Xenopus tropicalis: one gene and its partner. The protein of the gene in region 2 interacts with the protein of the main gene of each other region in a biochemical or structural test. Links are inferred from orthologs where the notes say so. Each region holds a gene or a part of one and is shown on either strand. Other genes may lie near its edges. The genes, in order: fgf14 and scn8a.

What was found.
Region 1: the proteins of scn8a (region 2) and fgf14 form a complex in vitro, tested with the Homo sapiens proteins (2 studies listed by BioGRID). The link is inferred for Xenopus tropicalis from reciprocal best matches to the Homo sapiens genes SCN8A and FGF14.

The regions. Positions count from the first base shown.
Region 1 is NC_030678.2:119,962,200-119,972,748, reverse strand, and holds the start of fgf14 (fibroblast growth factor 14), read right to left. Parts: upstream 5,224-10,549; coding exon 5,031-5,223; intron 1-5,030. UniProt on the Homo sapiens protein: Probably involved in nervous system development and function.
Region 2 is NC_030678.2:143,164,802-143,175,534, reverse strand, and holds the start of scn8a (sodium channel, voltage gated, type VIII alpha subunit), read left to right. Parts: upstream 1-5,153; 5' UTR 5,154-5,374; intron 5,375-10,733. UniProt on the Homo sapiens protein: Pore-forming subunit of a voltage-gated sodium channel complex assuming opened or closed conformations in response to the voltage difference across membranes and through which sodium ions selectively pass along their electrochemical gradient.

The DNA of each region.
Region 1 (10,549 bases), about 23 Mb from region 2:
TTTTTCTGTTATTTTAGTTATGTATTATTAAATTTCCCAGACAAAGCTCAACTAGAAAATAATATATAGAGTATAATGTTACCCCAATTCTAAATAAAAGCAAATTAGAAATCTGATAAGTCCCATGACCATATTAAGGCACAATGTCACAGGCTAAGTGATTGTATTCATGTCACAGAACTCCAGACATATTTTGCAACATTTACATTGTGTTACATTAATTTTTTTAAACAAATATGAGTGAGTTGTGACACAAATGACTTAACACATATTATAACATATCAGGATATTTATGGCTGTATACAGTACACAGATATACACATATTTACCTACCTACATACACATGTTTTTGTCACAGATATGTGTATGAAATGATGAGTGGAGTCACAGAATAAATATTTATTGTTACATACTAGATTTAAATATTAATCAGTACAATCGCAAATAGTAGGTAGGAGGGTTCTTAACCTAGATGTCGGTGGTGCTTCAAATCAGTTTCCACTGGATCCTTCAATAGGCTTTGGGGGATAATGACAGATATAGCGTACAATGGCCAGCTGTAGTGCAAGCTGAAGTATACCTTCAATAGAAACATTTCCATAGAGTCATCTGAATTTCTAATTTTATCGATTTTTTTTTTTATTTTTACACTTGACAACAAATGTCCTGGCAATGGGTTTCTTTGATAAGTGCTTTACTATTGAGCAGATATGTTTATGAGCACATTTAAAAATTCAGTTACAAAGGGGTGGATTTTTTTCTAAAAGTTTCTGATGTTTTTGCTCAGTGCAATAACAGCATGTTCCCTGAGAATCACTTTATCACAGCTTCCTGTAAATAATTCCATGGCTTAAGGATATCACTGTTTGAACACATGTGAATCAGTCAGTCTATTTCAGTTATTTGATTGACTCACTTTTCATGAAGCAGGGGTTTTAGGTTATGGATCTGCTGAAAATGTATGAGTTATCTAGCCTGAATAAGCCAACCAACATCACCCACATTTCCAATAAACTGCTTACAGATGCACCTTCCAATTGGAAGCTGGAAATTGCAGATCACAGATCGCTTCATGTTAACATATCTGGCCTACATTATAGTCTCTGAATACTATTTATTTTCATTAATATTCATGTCCCTAAACCAGAGATAGGCACTTAGTGGCCATGTAGTAATTTTTAGTTCCAGTAAGTCAGAATTTTACTATAACAGGTGTATGCCTATAGCTGCATGAGTACTGAAACATGGATCAGTATAATAGATTAAAACAATCTTACATGCAAATATTATATGTGTATATAGCTTGGAGTGCCTGCGAGTGAGAATTAAGAACTGCCTATGCTGCTCATGGTGTAACAGGTAAGCTTCAGTGATTCTTGTGTTGTGGCTTTACGAGCAGGAGAATCTCAGGTGTAGTTATGACTAGTAACCCAAAGGGCAAGTCTTCCATTAAATGATGTTTGTACAAAGCAAACTCCTGTCATTTGGCAATGAGGGGGCAGTTACATGGGGCAGAAAAAAGCCACGTCTGGTAACTTTAAGAGCTACATTTTCAAGTTTCAAAATGATAATTTGTATCTAAGTGCAGAGAGCGCAATAGCAAGGTAAGTGGTAGACGCAGTAAGCGCAGAATGGGGTGGGGGGCGGGAGGTGGTAACGGCGCTGGTGCCTCAGGTAGCAGCCCTAGATGTGCCACTGTAAAACAGTAAATACTTTGTTAACTTTCAAATTACTACTGTTTTATTTTTTTTATTGAAAATGTCAAGTAAGGCAGCAGGGCTATAATAATAGTAGACTGAGGGTTGGTGGAGAATGTGTATTATTAATGAGGCTAAAAAGGAGAGAATCAAATGTTTGGCTGTTAGAATGGTCCCAAGAAGTAAATAAATAACAATGCCAATAATCGCATTTTGGAACTCAGCTTTCTCATTATAATCCTTTTATTATTTGTCTTTATTTTTTACCCAGGTCTTTCTTAAGTACATTTACTTTAAACAGTGGTCTGTGAGGAGGTTTTCAGCCTAAATATATATAATAACAGCCAGAAATTTGCAGTTATCATGTTGCAAAATTCACATTCAACATCAATGAAAAATACAAACTACTGGGTGTACACTGCAGACTACTGGGTGTATATGGCAGCCAATGGATATTTCTTTTCACTGCAAATGACACTGATTATTACCGGCCTTTCATTAAGAGCTGTTAACAAGTCATAATACCTATAACACTCAGTTTAAATAAGCACACTGTTATTTTTCTGTACAACCCTATATTCTGTAGGGTCTGCTAGGCTTAGTAATGTATCTATAATAACTGCGCACCAAGAGGAACATTAGAAACCAAAGAAGGAGGACACCTGTAGCAGCGATATGGCTACCAGTGTGCAGTTGTATGTCTGACCCAGTCTATTAAAGACAGTAATGATAAAAGTAGGTATGTCACTCACCTAAAATGATTGTGAACTACATTTCCCAGCATGCTCTGACCTAGGCTGGATGTTGTAATTCAGAAACAAATGCTGAAAGTTTAACCCAAGACCTATACACGCTTTCTCCTTATAGGTAAGTGGCCATGAAATATCTCATACAAAATCTGCAAAGTTGTATTTAGGTCATAATGACCTGCTTCCATGTTCCTTCTTCTACCATCAGTAACAGTACAAAGATCAATTTCTTATAATGGTGCTTTTATTTGTGTATTTTTTTTTTAAGGTAAACACATACAGCTTTGTATTCCTGACACAGATATTTACAAAGGAAGGTAAGATTAATCCTACATCAATAAGGAATAAGGGAAAAAATCATGAATAAACATACACCCTTGGTGCAAATATGCACTGGCACGGTTTACTGTGCATCACCTTTCTCTTCCTCACTGTTGACACCAGCATTAAGAATAAATCCAAACTAGGTGATTTCCATTTATGCAAACATAGCATATAGCAGAGTAAAATGAATGGCAGGACTGAAGGCTCATCCCGTGCCATACTCCAGGTAACAAGATCTCCACACTTCTAAGCTTATTTTATACACATCAGCAGATACAATCAAACCTGTCAAATCTTTCACAGGATAATTCTTCATACTTTGTGCCTCTTAAAATGAAAGCATTAGTTAGAGGAGATTTATTAACTTTGTAGAGCTGTACTAGATTTAATAAACTCCATGTTCTGCTTTTCCCCCAAAGCTATAAGGAAAAAAGAATCCACAGTAACCCATAAACATGGGCAACTCATTGGTGCTGCCTACAAGTCTCTAGGGTAACAGGATCATTTCTTGAGTGTGATCCAGCATATAATTATGGCTTATATATATTCCCTGACTGCTACCATTTGTTTTATCTTATTAGCACACCTGTAATTCTTTTATTACATCAGGCACCAAAGAAAATCCTAAATAACCTTGGCTTACAATACATTAACATATTTGGATGTAGTGTTATCTGTAGTACCATATATTTTCTAGGTGTCCTTTACAAAAAAATATTTATGATAATGATAAACATATATCATTGCACACAAGAAAACAGTACATTATTTTGAAATACTAAAACTACAGTACAAAAGCGGAGTATGCTATGAAAAATATACTTTAGACTAGAAGATCTTCACACCATAAATGGTTCTCGGTAAATGCAACCTGTTAACCTTGTCTAAGATTAGGTGCTGTATTTTTTAGATGTACTGCAGGTTTTTCAGCTGGAAATAATTAATTTTTTTATGAGACATACAGAAGATGTCAGTGATGGGGTTAAGTATCCCTACCAACCCTACTGTGAGCATTTCTTGTGAATCAGACACATGAAACAGTCCTTTTTTCACAATATTTCCAAATGGCTTCACTCCTACGTTGGGGATAGTCATAAATTAAGCAAGGATGAACAATTTATTATTTGTTTAATCTCATGGTTAATGATTCTTTACATTAGTAATTTAAAAGATTTATGCATCTAAACCTGCTTTAACTCTTAAATGTCAAAGTGAAAGCTGGTGCTTTTAATTATTTAAAAAAAAAAAAAGGATTATTGAGTGAAAAACCTAATTCAATATTTACCTGAACCTACTTGTAAGGGGCTTATTGTACAGATCCTCTTTGGTATACTGTGCGTTTAATGTATGCATTTATCAGAGCTGTTCACGACTGAAAATCAGAACTCCTGTGGAGTAAGTCAGAACACAGTGGTCCTGATAAAGCTCATTCATATTCATTAATACAGCTGTCTAACATTAATACAGGTACAGACACTGTACTTCCACAGGTTTGTCACTGTAATTGTTATACAGAGTCTTAAATGCTACAGCAGTTCACTGAATGAGTGGTTCTCATGAAGTGCTATAAAGTTTCATAAATTGTGACATATAAAGACTTGTTATGCAAACTGTATATAAATGTATATCAGGTATATACATACGTTTCATAGCTACTAATATAGTTAGTCTGGAATTAAAGTCAAATTATATGCCTTCTCTTCTGTTCTACTGTTTTATTAACAAGTTATTGTATAAGATATTTTATTTAACTCCTGCCCCCAACCCCATCAGACTGAATCAAGAGAAACAAAGATAAACAAACATACATTTTGGGGACCTGACTGAAGTAAATGAGCGAGCCACAAATGAATGCACATAGACAGAAAGTTAAATACTACAATGCAAGTCATAAACTGCTTGCTAGTTCTTTAGACTTTAGTGCCAATAACCCTGGCACTGGATGTGTAATCTAATACAGGCTAAAAGGCTGATTTACAGTATAAAATTAATCTTCACGAATACTAGATTTGCAATTAAGTTGGAAAGACGGACAACAACAACCCATCACATTGATCAGTGGAAAATGGATTTTGTGTTGAAACATATTACAGAAATATACATCAGGATATAAACAGAACTACACAACAAAGGGTAAAGAGACACACTACGGATTAAGAAGGATGAGCGCACACATTCTGCCATTGGGTGCACAGAATCCAAGAGAAGGAAAAAACATAATGTAATCATGAAAACAGCTGACAGACACAGACCAACCGACCTTGCCGTCTCAGCCTTCTTTTTCTGAGGCCAAAGATTCGCACTTTGGAGAAAATATCCACCAGGTTCCCATTACAAAGGCCTCGATTTTTACTAGGGCTGCTGCGCCTCTTGCTAGCGGAGGGACGGTCCAAGTGCTGCTCCCGTGCCTGTCGCTTTTGTCGGATCAGTCCACTTGCGATAGCTGCTGCCATGCCACCTCCCGTACACGCTTATCGGGCTGGGAAGCTCCGAGAGGGAGGGGCTAGCAGAAAGTCGTGGTGGGACACCCCACCAAGTTTTTAGATAGAACCCAGATGATCAGTCTGTTGGAGCTACAAAGAGCAAAAAAAAAAGGGGCTCAGCCCCTCTGAAGACAGCTGGACATCTCTCTGCTCCCTTTGTCAGATCACTTTATACAACCAGTGGTGAAGTGGGAGAAAAGAAACTGTGCCAACCCAGAGTTACTTTCCTTTAGAAGGAGAAGTAAATATACAAGTTGAGCAAAAGTACAGTATATGTATGTATATGTATTTATACATACATATATTTAAATAATAGGAATAAAGCAAAAATATTGGTATGTTCCAAACAGAACTTCGTTAGCAGCTTTCTCTCACCTCTTCCGCTGAAGAAACTGGCATCTATGCTTGTTGGTAGTGCAAAGCTCAGAGAGATGGGGGTGGGCTTAGCTGGTCTCCTCAGTGCCACCCACACACCAGACAATGCCTGCTTCCCTATTTCAAGTGAGCTGAAAAAGCAGGATGAAGAAGATGGTTAAAGAGAGGAGGAAGGAATAAGAGGAGGAGGAGGAAAGAATGGGGAGGCAGGCTTCCCTTTTGAATTAGCATGGCAATGGGTAGCAGGTAAACGAAGGCTTAAGCATCTGAATCAACAGCCTTGAACTGCTGCCTCTGTGTATCTCCGCAAGACCATGCTTCGCGATCCTCTCTGATTTCAGGCACCAAGAAGCACTGCATGTGAAATCAGCATCAGGAGGCAATCTTCTTTCCTGCTCATTCTCTAATCAAATCATTTCTCCCCCCCTTCTCTCCACCCCTTAAAAAAAATAGCAGGAATGAAAAAGCAACACAGCTTTGTGCAATTTTCTTGAGAAATTGCTAGTTTCTAGCAGATCCAAGCCTCTTGCTCAGTTGGTGTCCTTGATTGTAATGCCTCTCTCCCTAGAAATTAAGCATGCTTAACTGCAATCTTCTGGCTGGATTGCTTTTACATCTTGCCGAAAAATAGGTAAGCTAATTCTTCCAGCAAACAAACTGCCTCCTATGTATTGAATTGCTAAAAGCACTGACCATATAAAAGTTATCAGTTTAGCCCTCCTGGTGTATTAGAGATAGTCACTCTCTTTGTGCTGACAATGTGCCGATGTGAGAAATATGTGCAGCACAGGATGCACGGCACTAAGCTGAAAGACATCAACACAGCATTAGAATGATACCGTGTGAGGATGCCACTGGCAAAAAACTCATGCATAACAAAGAGAAGACTAGCTTGTTTTAAAGAAAAGGTAAAAACAGAGGAAGCATCTGACAGCTACAGACAGATCATCCCTAGCAGCTTTAGCAAATCAAATTCACAGGAGTGACATTCTTAGACATCTCTATCGAACACTGCCACACACACAATGGGGTTTGCTTTGAGAGCATAAATATGAAAAATGACCGACACAAACATTTTTGCTCTAACAGCTCTTCATCAGTCTGGATACAGTTTCAGAAGAAGAGTTTTCTCCTTTGCTTTTCTTGTCCTATTTACATGTTTCACTGTGAAAAACGTGTGACTAACTGAGGTGCCATAGCAAAGAGAGGAAGCTTAGTCGAACAAATGAAAAAAGCCAGCTTTCTGCTTGGATGGATACAAATGATAAACAGAGTGATAAAAAGGAGTAGCTTGGAGTGCTGTGAAATAAACACCTACTGTGTGAATATCTTGTGCACTCCGAGTTCTCCCACACAGCACACAGGTTGAATTGTCAAATGTAAACAAATGCCAAAACTCCAAAATCAAATACAAAACTTTTCCCCTTTCATCTGTAAGCACTCAAAAGCTCCATCCTGTTAGGTTCACAAAGCCACATAAAGAAGACATTATTGATTATTTCCAAGCCAGTCAACTCCCTTTCAGGTGGAATTTGTGTGTACAAAGCACTGCTGGGCTGAATAGATTTTAATAATGATTTAGGATCAGGGGAAAGTAGAGCAGCCTGGCTAAATGTAAAAGATCTTATAGAGAATAGCTGCCCTAATGGAGGGCTGGGAGCTGTGCTCAATTAGAGCTTGTTTCCCTAGATTTTTCATTTTTAAAACCAGTTGGCTTGACACATCATAATCTATTTTAAATTGCATGCTTACAAAATGACCGTAAATCTGGAGATTAACAGTACAATTTAATGAATCCTGTTCTGTATTCCTAGTTGAAGACAGTGTCAATACCTTAGGGTGTTTGAAGAATATTCTGCATATTTGAAGCCTTAAACCCATTCAGCACCAAGGACAGTTCATTTAGACAGATTTGCACTTAACCCCAGTTTCAAACACTGCAGATGTTAATTACATTTAACTGCCATGAACACATAAGAAATTATATAAAGAGTCCTACCTTCTTAATCTATGGGATTGAATTAAATATAGCTTTGATTAACAAATGTGTTTGTGTATATTAGTGTACGTACACACACACACACACACACACACTGCTGCAAAATGGAATCACCTATTTCTGTAACTGTTGCAAATAAAGGCTTGGAATTAAAACTGGATGGTTAGATTTACATTTTTGCTTCTACAGTTTGTGATTCTGGTAAACGCTATTATTTTTCAAAGGAAACTCAAGAGAGCCATCTGCTGTTTTAATGTATACTACAACAACTACATAAATGGCATATTTATTTCAGAGTGCACAAGCGTAAAGAAATTAACAGCATATTGGATTTTTTTGAAGCTAAATACTTACATATAATTGCTAATTTCCTGTTGATATACTACTATAATTTTAAAATGAGGGTAGTCATATAATTAATAGGTTTACATGCTAAATCTACTAAATGTTAAAAAGCATTAGGATACCTCACATCCTTGAACAGAATGTGCAGAAGGTCTCCTTGAAGAAGACTATTATGGGTAAATAATGCCCATTTACTTGCACTACCCATTAAGAGAGGAATGGTAAGCCAGGAAGAATAACCAGCATCACGGAATAAAATATTTCAAATAATAATTATACTTTTAAGAACAATAATCAAATTAATTACAGTTGCTTGTATGTCAAAATGCCATTGCTGTTCTTGAAATAATATAGTACCCAAATCAGCACATGTTGCATTTTGTCAGATATGCGCCATCTCTGTGTTTTAAAAGGTTATGTAACAGGAACTCCATCTGTGTAAGAATTGTTATTGGTAAGGCAAAGCTGTTAAACAGAAATCTGCATTATAAGCTGATAGCAGAAACATTCTGCCATGGAGAGTTCATGCATATAAAATTGCATATAAAGCAAGCAATATACAAGCATAGAAACATAATTCTTTCTATTATGCCCAAATGTGATATATATTTTATTGTTTTTTATTTTTTTTTCCCCTCAAGGAATGTAAGAATTGCTGAACATGTGTATAAAGGTGGATAGCAACCTCTTTAGCACTGTCCTTGTTTTTGCCCTGGGCAGAACTTATGGCCAGTTGCTAGGCAGAAAAACAGAGAACATGAAATAGCTGGAGAGTTTGTGGATTTAGAATATAGGGTAAGTAGGAGTGATATGTTCCAATAAGAATTATGAGCTAGTGGTGAGAGAAACAACTGAGGACTGTGTAAGAGCATGTTGTGCAGTCGGGTGTATCGTGCCAGCTAAAACCTAATAATTAAGAATGGTTGACCTTACAAGACCTAGGCATCACAGATATAGAAGACATTTGCTAGGATGCCAGCACTTTAGGGCTATCAAGGGGCTCTGTAACCAGTGAAAAAAGAAGGGGCTAGATATCAGTTACTAATGAACACAATTGGCTTCATTTTGGCTCAGTGAGAGTTAAATTACTTCAGGAAATGATTAATTTGACAAGTTGCTATGTTATCTACCTGTTCTGAGTGTTATGGTGTTATTTTCTACTTGGATAGCATTTTATATTAACATGAGCACTGTGGTAAATTATGCACTACTTCCCAGCTTCCTTCCTAATTTCACTTACATAATGGTCTGTATGTGGGAGTTGGATTCTAAGGCTGAAGAAGAAAAAAAAACTGTGTGTGATAACGCTTGTCATGGTGATTTTAACAGCTTGACTAATGCTGCTTTGCTAATTGTGAAGTGTTCACAACCTCTTTTAAAGGGGACCTGTCACCCAGACATAAAAATCTGTATAATAAAAGTCATTTTAAAATTAAACATAAAACCTAAATTCATTTTTATATTAACACATCCAAATCCATTATAAATACATTTAAAAATCCCAGCTGTCAGTCATATATTGCCTGCCCTGTCTCTATGCCTTAGGCATAGAGGTGAGGTAGACAATTACTTTAACTTTCCATTCAGCACTCACTTTCCCCCTCCCTTCTCACCATCTAATTGTGTAGCCAGTGCATGGGCATGGGCATCTGGTCCCCCATGCTGGCACATACATGAGATTTTGGGGTGATACAAAGCTTTCCTTAATAACAGTGTCCTGCTTGCTGTTATTGTGTAATTCCAAGACTGAGGAAAACAAGGTTTATATTATTATATATTATAGTGTAAGTGAAGTTTATTTTGCTTGACACAATAGTAAAGAATACGGAATTATTAGGGTGACAGGTCTACTTTAATATCATTATCATATTCAGTTCTATTTCAAAACAAGACACAAGCTATAAAAAAAACGAATTGAACTAAATTCAATAGGTATGCGCTATGTTTTGGCAATGTCATGTATGTGTGTTCCCTAAAACATCATGAACACACACAAAGACACACACACCCCTGCAAAATAGCAGGTTTTTGTTTAATAAAACAAAATAAGCCAAGAAAGAGCCTTTCAGGACTTATTCCATCTTTATTGCAAAATTGCCATCTATACAAAGAAGTAAACAAATCAGAAACATTTTAGAGAAACAAGGAAAAGCAAAAATCATACAAAAACCTGTTGAATTACTGTGCACAACCTTTAATAATCAAGGATGTGGCTGAACAAGAGGCCCACAGCAGCATTATAGGAGCTGCAGGATTTCTTGGCAAGTACTTCTTGATTGACAACAATCAGTCATAGTCTTCATATTTCTGGGTCCAGCTAAACTTTGTAAAATGGTATACCCAGTCACCCACAACCATGTGGAAAAATGTATTATGGTCTAATCAGACCAAAGTTGAACTATTTTGCCATAATTCCAAAAGGTATTATAACCTCCATTTTGGCTCAATAACTGCCTTCTTGGACTCTCTCACCCAGAATGGGCCTTTACACCTATCTTGCTGCTAAACAGAAAAATAAAAACCGAGGGTGCCAGAGGTTCTTGTAAACAGCAACAACACAGAATAAGTTTATTGAAC
Region 2 (10,733 bases):
CTCATTAATATCCTTCTTAAGGACTGGAGCCCAAAACTGCACTGCATACTCAAGGTGAGGCCTTACCAGAGACCTATAAAAGGGCAAAATGATGTTTTCTTCCCTTGAGTCAATGCCCTTTTTTATATAAGACAGCACTTTATATGCCTTTGTAGCCACAGACAACTTGTTATCTACCAAAATCCCCAGATCCTACTCAGTTAAAGATATCCCCAACACACTACCATTTAGAGTATAACCATAGAAAAAAAAGCCACATTCATAAGCCTATGTGATTAAGGGTTCTTCCCAAAATGCATTAGGTTGTCTGCTTCTCAGAAGCAGAAGCAATTCATGTTTTTATATTTAATTGAATAAAAGACTTTTCCCCTTTTTTGGTGCTATAGTAGTGGAGCACTGCATGAATATGGCCAGCACCTATCTCTAGTTTCTTCCCTGGATACCGTGAAAGCATATAGGAAGTGGTGAGTCCGTGCAGAGATATATATATTTTTTTATTGCTTTCTACCAAAGTCCATAACCTTCCACTTATCAACACTGAACCTCAGTTGCCAGTTTGCTGCCCAATTTTCCAATATAGACAAATCTGTATTCAAAGCGGCAGCATCCTGCATGGAACTTATAGTTTTGTACAATTTAGTATCATCAGCAAAACTAGAAACAGTACTTTCTCCAGGTCATTAATTAACAAGTTAAAAGCAAAGCACCAAGGACAGATCCCTGTGGTACTCCACTAACAACATTGGTCCTTTTAGAAAATGTTTCATTTACCATCTGGACCTTTGTTTACCTTTATATGTTCAAGTCTATTTTGAATTTTCTACTGACCAATGTGTCAGTAGCTATATGACTAGAACTGGGTCTAATAAGAGGGCAGTCTTTATTAGCTGGTTCTCCATTTGAATAGACAGATAAAAAATATTTATTTTCCCTGTGCTCATCAACCAACTAACCTCCCTCTGATAATAATGGTTCCACCCATTCTTTCTTAATAAATATTAATAATATTAATTTTTTTTTACTATTTACTTGTACCTGCCAATAAAAATATTGGAGTAGTTGCACAGTACAGTGCCATGTCTAAAGGGACAATATCACCTATGATCAAATAACCGCATTTATCAAACTGTTCCTATTTATTAATGTATTGTAATAAAAATAACATAACCATTACAAATAATCAGGTTCTGGATTTCAAACAACTAACCACTAAGTGGTACCTTCTGATTGGCTGCTATATGTTACTAAACCAAAAGTAAACCAATAGTCTGGCATGGTGCCGAGAAATTGGCAAATTGTTAATGTGGTGCTATTTTTCAAAATAGGTTCCTGCACTCATCCTGAAAACAACTGGCCTGTTAGTCTGACATCATTTGTAGGAAAGCTTTTTGAAGGGGTAATAAGGGACAGGATGCTTGAATACATTGCAAATCACAATACTATGAGTTTGTGCCAGCATTGTTTTATGTGTAATGGATCTTGCCAGACTAATTTAATTGCCTTTTATAAGGAGGAAAGCAGGAACATAGACTCTGGGATTGGAGTGCGTGTGATCTACTTAGATTTTGGTAAAGCATTTGATACAATGCCACACAGGTAACTAATTAAATTAAGGAATACTGGTCTGGAAATAATACTTATACTTGGATAGAGATCTGACTGTAGGCTAAAAAGAGCATTTTCTAATTAGACCAGTGTTGTTAGTGGAATACCACAGGGCTCTCTCCTTGGCCCTTTGCTTTTTAACTTGTTTATTAATGACTTTGAGGTGGGCATTGTAAGAACTGTAAGTACTGAATTTTTGCTGATGGTACTACATTGTGCAAAACTATAAGTTCCATGCAGGATGCTGCCACGTTGCAAAGAGATTTGACTAAATGGAAGAACGGGGCAGTAAACTTTAGTAGAAATAACATACATGCTAGTTACACAACGGTACTGTGTTGAGGGGCCTCCTTAATTAAAAAAAGAATTTTTGTAGAAAGCAAACTTTGTAACTGTAGTCATAGTCACTCAGTGGCATTTAAAGCAAATAGAGTTCTGTCTTGCTTAAAAAAGGGCATTAACTTAAAAGATGGAAACATCATTTTTGCCTTTTTAAAGGAACAGTAACATAAAAAAAACATTTTTTTTTTAAAGTAATTCAAATATAATGTACTATTGCCCTGCAATTGTAAATGTTTTGTGTTTGCTTCAACAAGATTTCTGTAGTTTGTATAAATAAGCTGCTGTGTAGCCACAGGGCAGTCATTTAAGATGGAAAAAGGGAGAAAAGGCACAGGTTAAATAGCAGATAACAAATACGCTCTGCAGAGCTTGTTTGTTACCTGCCATGTAACCTGTGCCTTTTCTCCTTTTCTTTATTTGAATAGCTACCCCCATGGCTACATTATAAATAATAGCAGTCTTTTTGATGAAAACACACAGCTTTTACCTGTACAGGGCAATAGTATATAATATATTAATTACTTTGATACACTTTTATTTTTTGGTGTTACTGTTCCTTTAAAGGTCTCTGGTAAGGCCTTAACTTGAGTATGCCATGCAGTTTTGGGCTTCAGTCCAGAAGAAGGATATTAACTGGAGATAGTACAGAAACATGCAACTAAATTGGCACAAGGGGCTAATTTGGGTGCTGTGTTTTTTTTAGTGGCCGTCCGACATAAACTTTAATGAAAATTGTCTGACAGGTGTTAGTAGCAATTCTGCATTAAGCTGCATTTCTGGGCTACCAAAGATTGCAGTGCCAAAGGGGCCTATAATAGTCCTGTATTCCATTACCCTAAGAAAGGATGTAGCTATAGTATAAGGAAAGTGGTTACTTAGATGAAGTTAGATGCTGGGTCAGTAACTAAAAAGAAAACAAATAAATACAATTTTACAGTTGCCCCTTAATATTTCCATTAGACAAAGCACAGCTGCCCTTGAATAAGAACATAGATGACTTTGTAGTGAAATCCGCAGTCTGAACCTTGTCTTTATTTATGTGAATCCTAGACTGAGGAGGAAAGGGTTCTACATGAATACATTATGCAGCTACCTCTTAATACATGAAATGAAGGGGAACATGATTTACCAAAATCCCATAATTGCTAAAAATACAGAGGCTGTTCAAATAGGTTACACAGAAGTCCAAGGGACTTGGTTTGTAAAGAAAGATATGGTGGCTCCAAACTTAATGTTCTGTTGTTTTTGTGTTGTATCCTAAATGAGCTTGGTTCCCGTATTATTACTGTGTCCACTCCTGGCTTAGGCTTCTACCCATTTACATTTCTTTCACTCCCTCTCTCTTCCAGTTTTTATTTTAAATAAATAAAGAGCTTTAAAGAAAACATTCATGCAGATATTCTTACATGGTATTGCAAATGCAAAGTGTTTCCTCTGTTATCTCCTTGGGATTCCTGATCAACCCAAGTGCTGTGGCACTTTCTCCAGTCACAGGGAGCTAACCTTTTTTTTTTTTTTGTCCACACTACCTACCTGCTGATGCTAACACCTTACTAACCTTAATCCTGGGTTAGGGCTATCTAACTGGTCCCAGCCCAGATGTGGCCATCCAGAATATTTTGTATGGCCTTAGGAGCTCCTAAATCCTTTGGGTGCCATCATTTTATTATAATTTGTCCCCAGCATGTAGTATTACATCATCCCATTATATTAAATTTGACTGCACTGTTATAACAGGATCTAACATCAGTAATATAGTCCAGTCTGTAGAATTCTAAGGTGTCACAAAGGAGAGTAGTGGGAGCATTCCAAGGCTAAGTAAAATAAAAGTCGAGTATAAAGGAAGTGTGATTGATCAGGCCAATTTTATTACAGCCATTTGGTTGTAGCACCCCCCACCCAATCCTTTATTGGTTGTTTTGTGATTTAAAAAAGGGCTTTTGTCTTGGATATTTCTCAGTAAGGAACAGCTTGTAACACCAATACTTTTCAACAAGAGACACTTTTCCTAAGAAATGTAACTCTGCAAGAAGGTTCCAGCCTATAAAAAATATGACTGGAGGGACTACCATATGGAGTTTACCTTGGTATGGTGTGGTGACTTGGTAATTGTTTGATCATCACTTTGTAACTAAAACCCCCACTTTTTTAAATGTATGCTAAATTACTAGAAAAACAGGGGGCCAGAGAATGTCCATTTATTAATTTCTTCTTTTGAATTCTAAAGTCAATAACTGTGCCCTCAGTCCCAGGACTAGTCCATATATACAGGAAAGCCTTTCAGTGATAATGGTATGTTCCAGGCCTATGTGTAAACAATAGGAGCCACAAGGGAGAGAGGTGCCAGACTTTCCATCTAATTACTTTTTAGAAAACCTTACCATGTATCAGTGTGTTGGTATTCGAGAAAAACAAGTTATATCCAATGGCTTGGCTTACTGTCAAGGAATGTTAACTATAACAATTTTCAGGGGCACTATTTATTTGAAGACAGGCCTTGTATACATGTGGGTTTGTAGCCCAGTGATATAGTTGAGATGAACTTAACAGTATCTTGAAGTACATTGATGCTTGGCTGGTGAGTGGCTCAAGGGGCAAAGTGTGCCATGTAAGGTACCAATGGTGAGCCAATACAGCACAAACAGCAGCATTGTGCTACCTGAACTGCATGTCACCCTTTGTCTCCATTGTATTAGGCAGCCCTGCCAGACACTGTGCAGCCCCCAACATTACACACACCCCTATGAACCCAGGCAAGTTTTCCTTGGGGACATTTTGCTGCCTGAAACACGATTTCCCCTTTCCCCTGCCAAGTGACTATGTTTGTTATTGCCCTGACTGGTGAGTGTATGAGGACCGAGTATGGAGCCCAGTGAGGCTCAGCCCGGTAGCAATAGCTGCCAGTGAAGCAGGTCGCCATGCCAATGCCATCCCTTCCGTTACTCTGCTGCAGGACCCAATAACTTGCAGTTACAACGCTGTTTGTTGGCCATTTTTGCGCACCTGGGACATTGCCAAGGACACAAATTCCCCCGGGAAGATAGTAAGACAATTGAGTCTCCTCAGGAATGAGGGTCGGGACTTCCCAGCTCCTCACACGCACAGCACCCCGGCCGTGAGTAACCGAGGCAATTAGGAGGCACGCATGCGCCCCCCGCCGCACTCATAAACTTGTCTCCCCACCGCCACACCGTCCCACCGTCCCACCGCCCGCTTCCTTCCCTGCCTTCCCGCATCTCCGCGGCTCCTCCCACTCACAGTGCGCTCACGTGACCGAGTGATGTCATCAGAGGTCCTTCTCTCCCTGTAGAATGTAGCAGCAGCAGCAGCAGGCAGCATGGCGACGGGCGCAGTTCCTCCTGCTGCAGCCTCCCCACCTCTGCAGTCCGGCGGCGCCTGCGGGGACTCGCTCTAGAGCTGCGGCCAAGTAAGTGCGCGGGTGACAGAAAGCGGCTACAAAGACGCAGTCTGACGCCGAACGTGTGTCCGGGATAGCATTTGCTGCCAGGATTATTGCACAGATTTGAGAGATGGAGTGAATGCTGGTGCCGTGGGCCCGGGATGGGGGGGGGGGTAGGGTTCTGGAGATCCGGCTGCTCCAACGGGTGTTTGCCGCAGAGGCATGTTTGTCCCTCCGCTCCCGGGTGCAGTGGGCTAGGGGGAGCCGTGTCACTAGCCCCACAGTGAGGCAAAGGCAGAGCATGTGCCCGGTCCCCCTATAACTCTTTGCTAGTTGGTTGATGCCTGAGTGGTGCAGGGGCCCCGGGAAGAGATGAATTGGGTTAGGGGACACCAACTTTCGACCTTTCATTAATGCTTACACTACAGCTCCCAGGCTCCTCTGCGAGGCACAGATGCTATTATGTGTAGTTTGAGCAGGAGGGCCGCAGGTTGTGAGTGCCTCATTGCCTTACCTGCGCACGGTGTATGGCCGACCTTTGCTGTATGTACAGTAACAGTGACCCCCTCCTCACCCTCTAACTTACTCCTGGGGCCAATCTGCACGCACTTCTCTCCCCCAGCAGCACAGTGCGGTTCTACACAATCCCAAGGTGTCATCACTTTCCGTCCCAGCCCCTCCCTTGGCTGCTGCCAGCTCTACATTGAAACGTATGGCCAAGGGTTATGGGGCTGCGATCGGCTCTATATACCGTCCTGACTGGGGGTGCCCCCTGCCTACCGTGTCCCACTTTAGGGAATGAGGACCCTTGCACCCCCTCCCCAGTCATGTTCTTAAAGCTGTATCTGAGTTTGGAGGAATGCGGGTGTGGTAGGTGGGTATTTCTGCATGCTCTGCAGTCCGTATTGCTCTGCAAAGGGGATTTATTCATGATATGGAAGGATTACTGTGCCGGGAGGCTGCTTGTACAGTGTAGGGCTCCATTCTGATTCGGCATGTTGGATTGAGCCGGCTCCGCTACACTGCAGCAATTTTTTCCTCTTCAAATGAATCCTATGGCCCTTACGCCCCGCAATGAAAATGCACTGAGGAAGCCCCTCTGCCTTGCCGTATGCAGTATATGATTGCAGGGACGTCCTGTATGCGACCCTACACTTGTTATAAAGGGGGGATGCTGGGGCATGTAGACTTGGAGGGCCGCTGGTTGGTCATCTTGCAGTATTCAGAATTGGACTATTGATATCACTGCGCTAACATCTTGCTGCTTGTAATGTTAAATATCCCAGTTATTTCTCTGCATGTGTGCTAGTGCTTAACTGGGGCTGTCCCGCTCAGCTATGACTCCCAGAAACCTCCAATGTGGGGAGTCTTTTTTTATTTATTTTTAATGTTGCTCTACAGATGGTTAAGGGGCAAAGGATCCCTGGCGCAGAGTTCAAGCCTGATCACCTGTGTTGGTAGTTTACTATACAAAGCTCATTGAAACATGGACTTGGAGCCGGCTTTTTGCGGCTCGTACTATTGCAGGGGTTCTATATTTATTAAACTCTCACCTTTATTTTAGTGCAGAAAGTGCGTTCCTGCCTAGATAGCTACTGTAACGCATGCCGGCCTCGGTTCATGGTGCTGAATGGACAGCTCCATAGGGTTACTGGCATCAGATCTATGTGGCAGCGATCATGGTGCTGAATGGACAGCTCCATAGGGTTTCTGGCCTCAGATCTGTTTTGGAACGATCGTGGTGCTGAATGTACAGCTCCATAGGGTTTCTGGCATCAGATCTGTTTGGTAGCGATCATGGTGCTGAATGGACAGCTCAATAGGGTTACTGGCATCAGATCTATGTGGCAGCGATCATGGTGCTGAATGGACAACTCCATAGGACTGGCATCAGATCTGTTTGGGAGCGATCATGGTGCTGAATGTACAGCTCCATAGGGTTACTGGCATCAGATCTGTTTGGGAGCGATCATGGTGCTGAATGGAAAGCTCAATAGGGTTATTGGCATCAGATCTATGTGGCAGCAATCATGTTACTGGCATCAGATCTATGTGGCAGAGATCATGGGGCTGAATGGACAGCTCCATTGGGTTTCTGGCCTCAGATCTGTTTGGGAGAGATCATGGTGCTGAATGGACAGCTCCATAGGGTTACTGGCTCAGATCCGTTTGGGAGAGATCATGGTGCTGAATGGGCAGCTCCTCATTGCTGCTGTTCGCTCCGCACTGTGCAGTAAGATTAGTCCTTAAACCCGCCTTGCATTATGGTGCTGGGATGCTGGCCTCATTTTGTCCAAATAGATCAGTCATTCTGCCTTCCTTGGGGCTACAGTGCTGAATTGACACTTCTTGATGATGGTTAGGCCCATTTGGAGGATCTGAATATGTTTTACAGCTTCCTTTGAGTTACTAATACAAAATGTTCTATTTGTTGGACTACTCGTTGGATTTATAATGTTTTTTTTTTTTTTTTTAAATCTTGATCCTTTCTAGAGCACAATGTTGAATGTGCAGCTTATGAGGCTTGCTGGGCGCAGGTTGTGGGCTGGACAGATCTGTCCTTATTCCTGCTTTAGATCAAGATGCTGCATTAACAAGTCGTAGGTTGTTGGTTTTATGTTTTCTTTATGAAAACATAAACATGGACAGGTCTTAATAAATGGGGTACTCAAAATGTTTTGATAATTGGTTCCTGTCTTTGCTTTTAAGATCCATGTGACTTATGTGCATCCTTGGTGCTGACTACAAATTATGGATCAGAATATAGAATTCCGCCAAATTGGTTACATATCAATGCAATGTAGGGCCATATCTAGCCCAAGGCCTCAAATGTAATTTTTTTCCTGCCCTGGTTGGCAGAGGGGTAGTATGGAGGTACCTGAGTTGTTAAAATAATTAACAATATCTGATACCTGATTCAGATCACAGTTCTGTATGAAGATCTCCTGATGAGTGCTTTTTCTTTAGTGTGCCTTAGCTCACAGTCCTGAATAAGCAGCTTGTGCACATTGCTTACCCCAGATTGCATTAGTGAATAGATAATTGCTATTTACTTGCCTTTTTTGTAGTGCTAAAAGGGCTGCTCATAATGACTGCTTGACTTAATCATGGTGAATGGCCATAGATCAATCCTGATGCTGACTTTAGAGCATAGTGCTGAATGGGCATCTCCTGAGGCTTATACTATGTTCACACAGTGGCTATTTGTTTATCTAGCAATATACCTCTCTTATAAAAATAACAAAACACATACATTTCATTCAGTTCTTTTACCTATTCTTTGTATACTTTATGAATCAGACCTCTTTTGGTGATTGCTCGGGCCACACTGTAGAGTGAGATATATTATGCTAATCCTTGCCTCAGATGAATGGGTTTGAGAGTACAGTTCCTTTAGTTTGCTGACCTCAAATTTTTGGTTCTTAGTAGACCAGTCCGATACGGGTTAAGATCATAGATGGACATAATAGATGATTTATGATTTACTGCTGAGTAAACATATCCCAGAGTGCAGGATAGATAAATCCTGTCAAATAGTTTAGCCTAATCTCAAATTGTAGTGAATAGATTATTTCTGTTTATTTGCCATGGATTATGGATTTATAATGTGTATTGCCAGGTTCAGATAGGGGTGTAGAGCTCCAGATGTTTTCTTGCCTCATACTGTAAATTCAATTAGTGATAGCCACCTGCCTAAATTCATGGTACTGCCACTGTTATGTACTATATTCCAGCCTTCTAAATCTTATCAAGAGATATGGTAGCAAAATCAAGTAAAAATAAAATGATCCATAATAATTACTTTACTTTTCAGTACTGATTTATGTTTGAGAGGTATATTTTAGAGAAAGGTATTTTACAATTCCTATATAATGCGTAGTTTTCCAGAATGGCTAAGCAACTACATTAGCCATGCAGTAGCCATCAGTAGTAATCCTGAGTCAATCTATTTAGTTCCATTACATGACAATTAATTGCATTCCCACGTAAATCCATGGTTCTCCCACTATTGCTTTTTGCAAACGTGTGCCTTCATATGAGAATGGTTTATATAAAGGTAGTACAGACGCACACCTTTCAGTGCATTTCAGGTGATACAGGTTGAGCAATTAGAATTTCAGTATGGCGTGTCTTGTAGTTTTGTGCAATAAAGTGATAGGCCAGTGCTTAAAAACAAGCCAATGGCTTAAATAAGAATTTAAAGTTCTTTGAAAAAGGTCTAGAGCTTGTCCTCAACAATTTTTATTCTTTCTGGTATTTAAGTGAAATTAAATGTATTTAAAGTCACAGTGGGACTTATTTTACATTTCATGGAGAGCCCTACACCTTGACACTAAGGGTATAAGTTTAAGGTTAAGATATCACCCTTAGTGCCAAATTGGGATTCAATCCATTATCCAGAAAGCTGTGAATTACAGACAGGCCATCTCTAATCCTTTTTTTTTTAATGATTTCATTTTTCTCTGTAATGATAAAACAGTACCTTGTACTTGATGGTAATTAAGCTCCATATTGGCTACAAAACAATCCTAATGGGTTTATTTAATGTTTAAATAGTTTTAAACAGGCCCTAAACATTCCAAATAATGGGTCTCATACCTATGTGTGTAAACCTTAATCTCACCTCTGAAATCCTCCACTATTTTTTTTTCAGAGTTTGACTTGGTGCACTGGCATAACATCTGACACAAGCACTTTTGAGGCTATACTGTGCGACTGTGTCCTACTGTAGTACTGTATACATGTTGTTATACAGTATATAAAATTAAAACAAAGTTCCTATCAGTCTTATTGGACTTGCCCTTGAAACATAAAATAAAGGGTGTGCTATGGTGGCGGTTTGGATACAGGTTTTGTAATTTGCCACTAGAAAAACATTATTGTTGGTATACACCGAGGTCTTTATTATGATATGAATAAACAATGTGTAATGGTTGCCCCTATCTTGCATTGTGCGCCCATTTTGATAGAACAACATTTAGGTCAGAAGCCTGAAAGCTCTAATTTGATGTAACTTTAGACCAGTGTTAATCTTGGCCTGCCTGTGTCCCTCCATATGTTGGTGAATTGCAACTCCCATTTGATGGCCTTTGAGTTGCTCCTCATCATCTGGAGGGTCACTTTTATTTTTTATTTATTTTTTGATATTGAAGCTGAAAATGTAGTTTCAGGTGTTCTTGCTAAACATATTTTAGTCTCACACCAGCAAATTGTCGCAGGTTTAGGGGCAGCACCCAGCTGACTGTCTTGCAGCTGTGTGTCACTACATATTGTTTCTCCCAGCTCTGTTCTCAGGTCTGTTCTTCCTGCTACTATATTATGATTTGTTTTCTTTTCTGACCTTGCAAAAAAAAGCAGGTGTAAATTCCTTTTAATTTTATGTAAG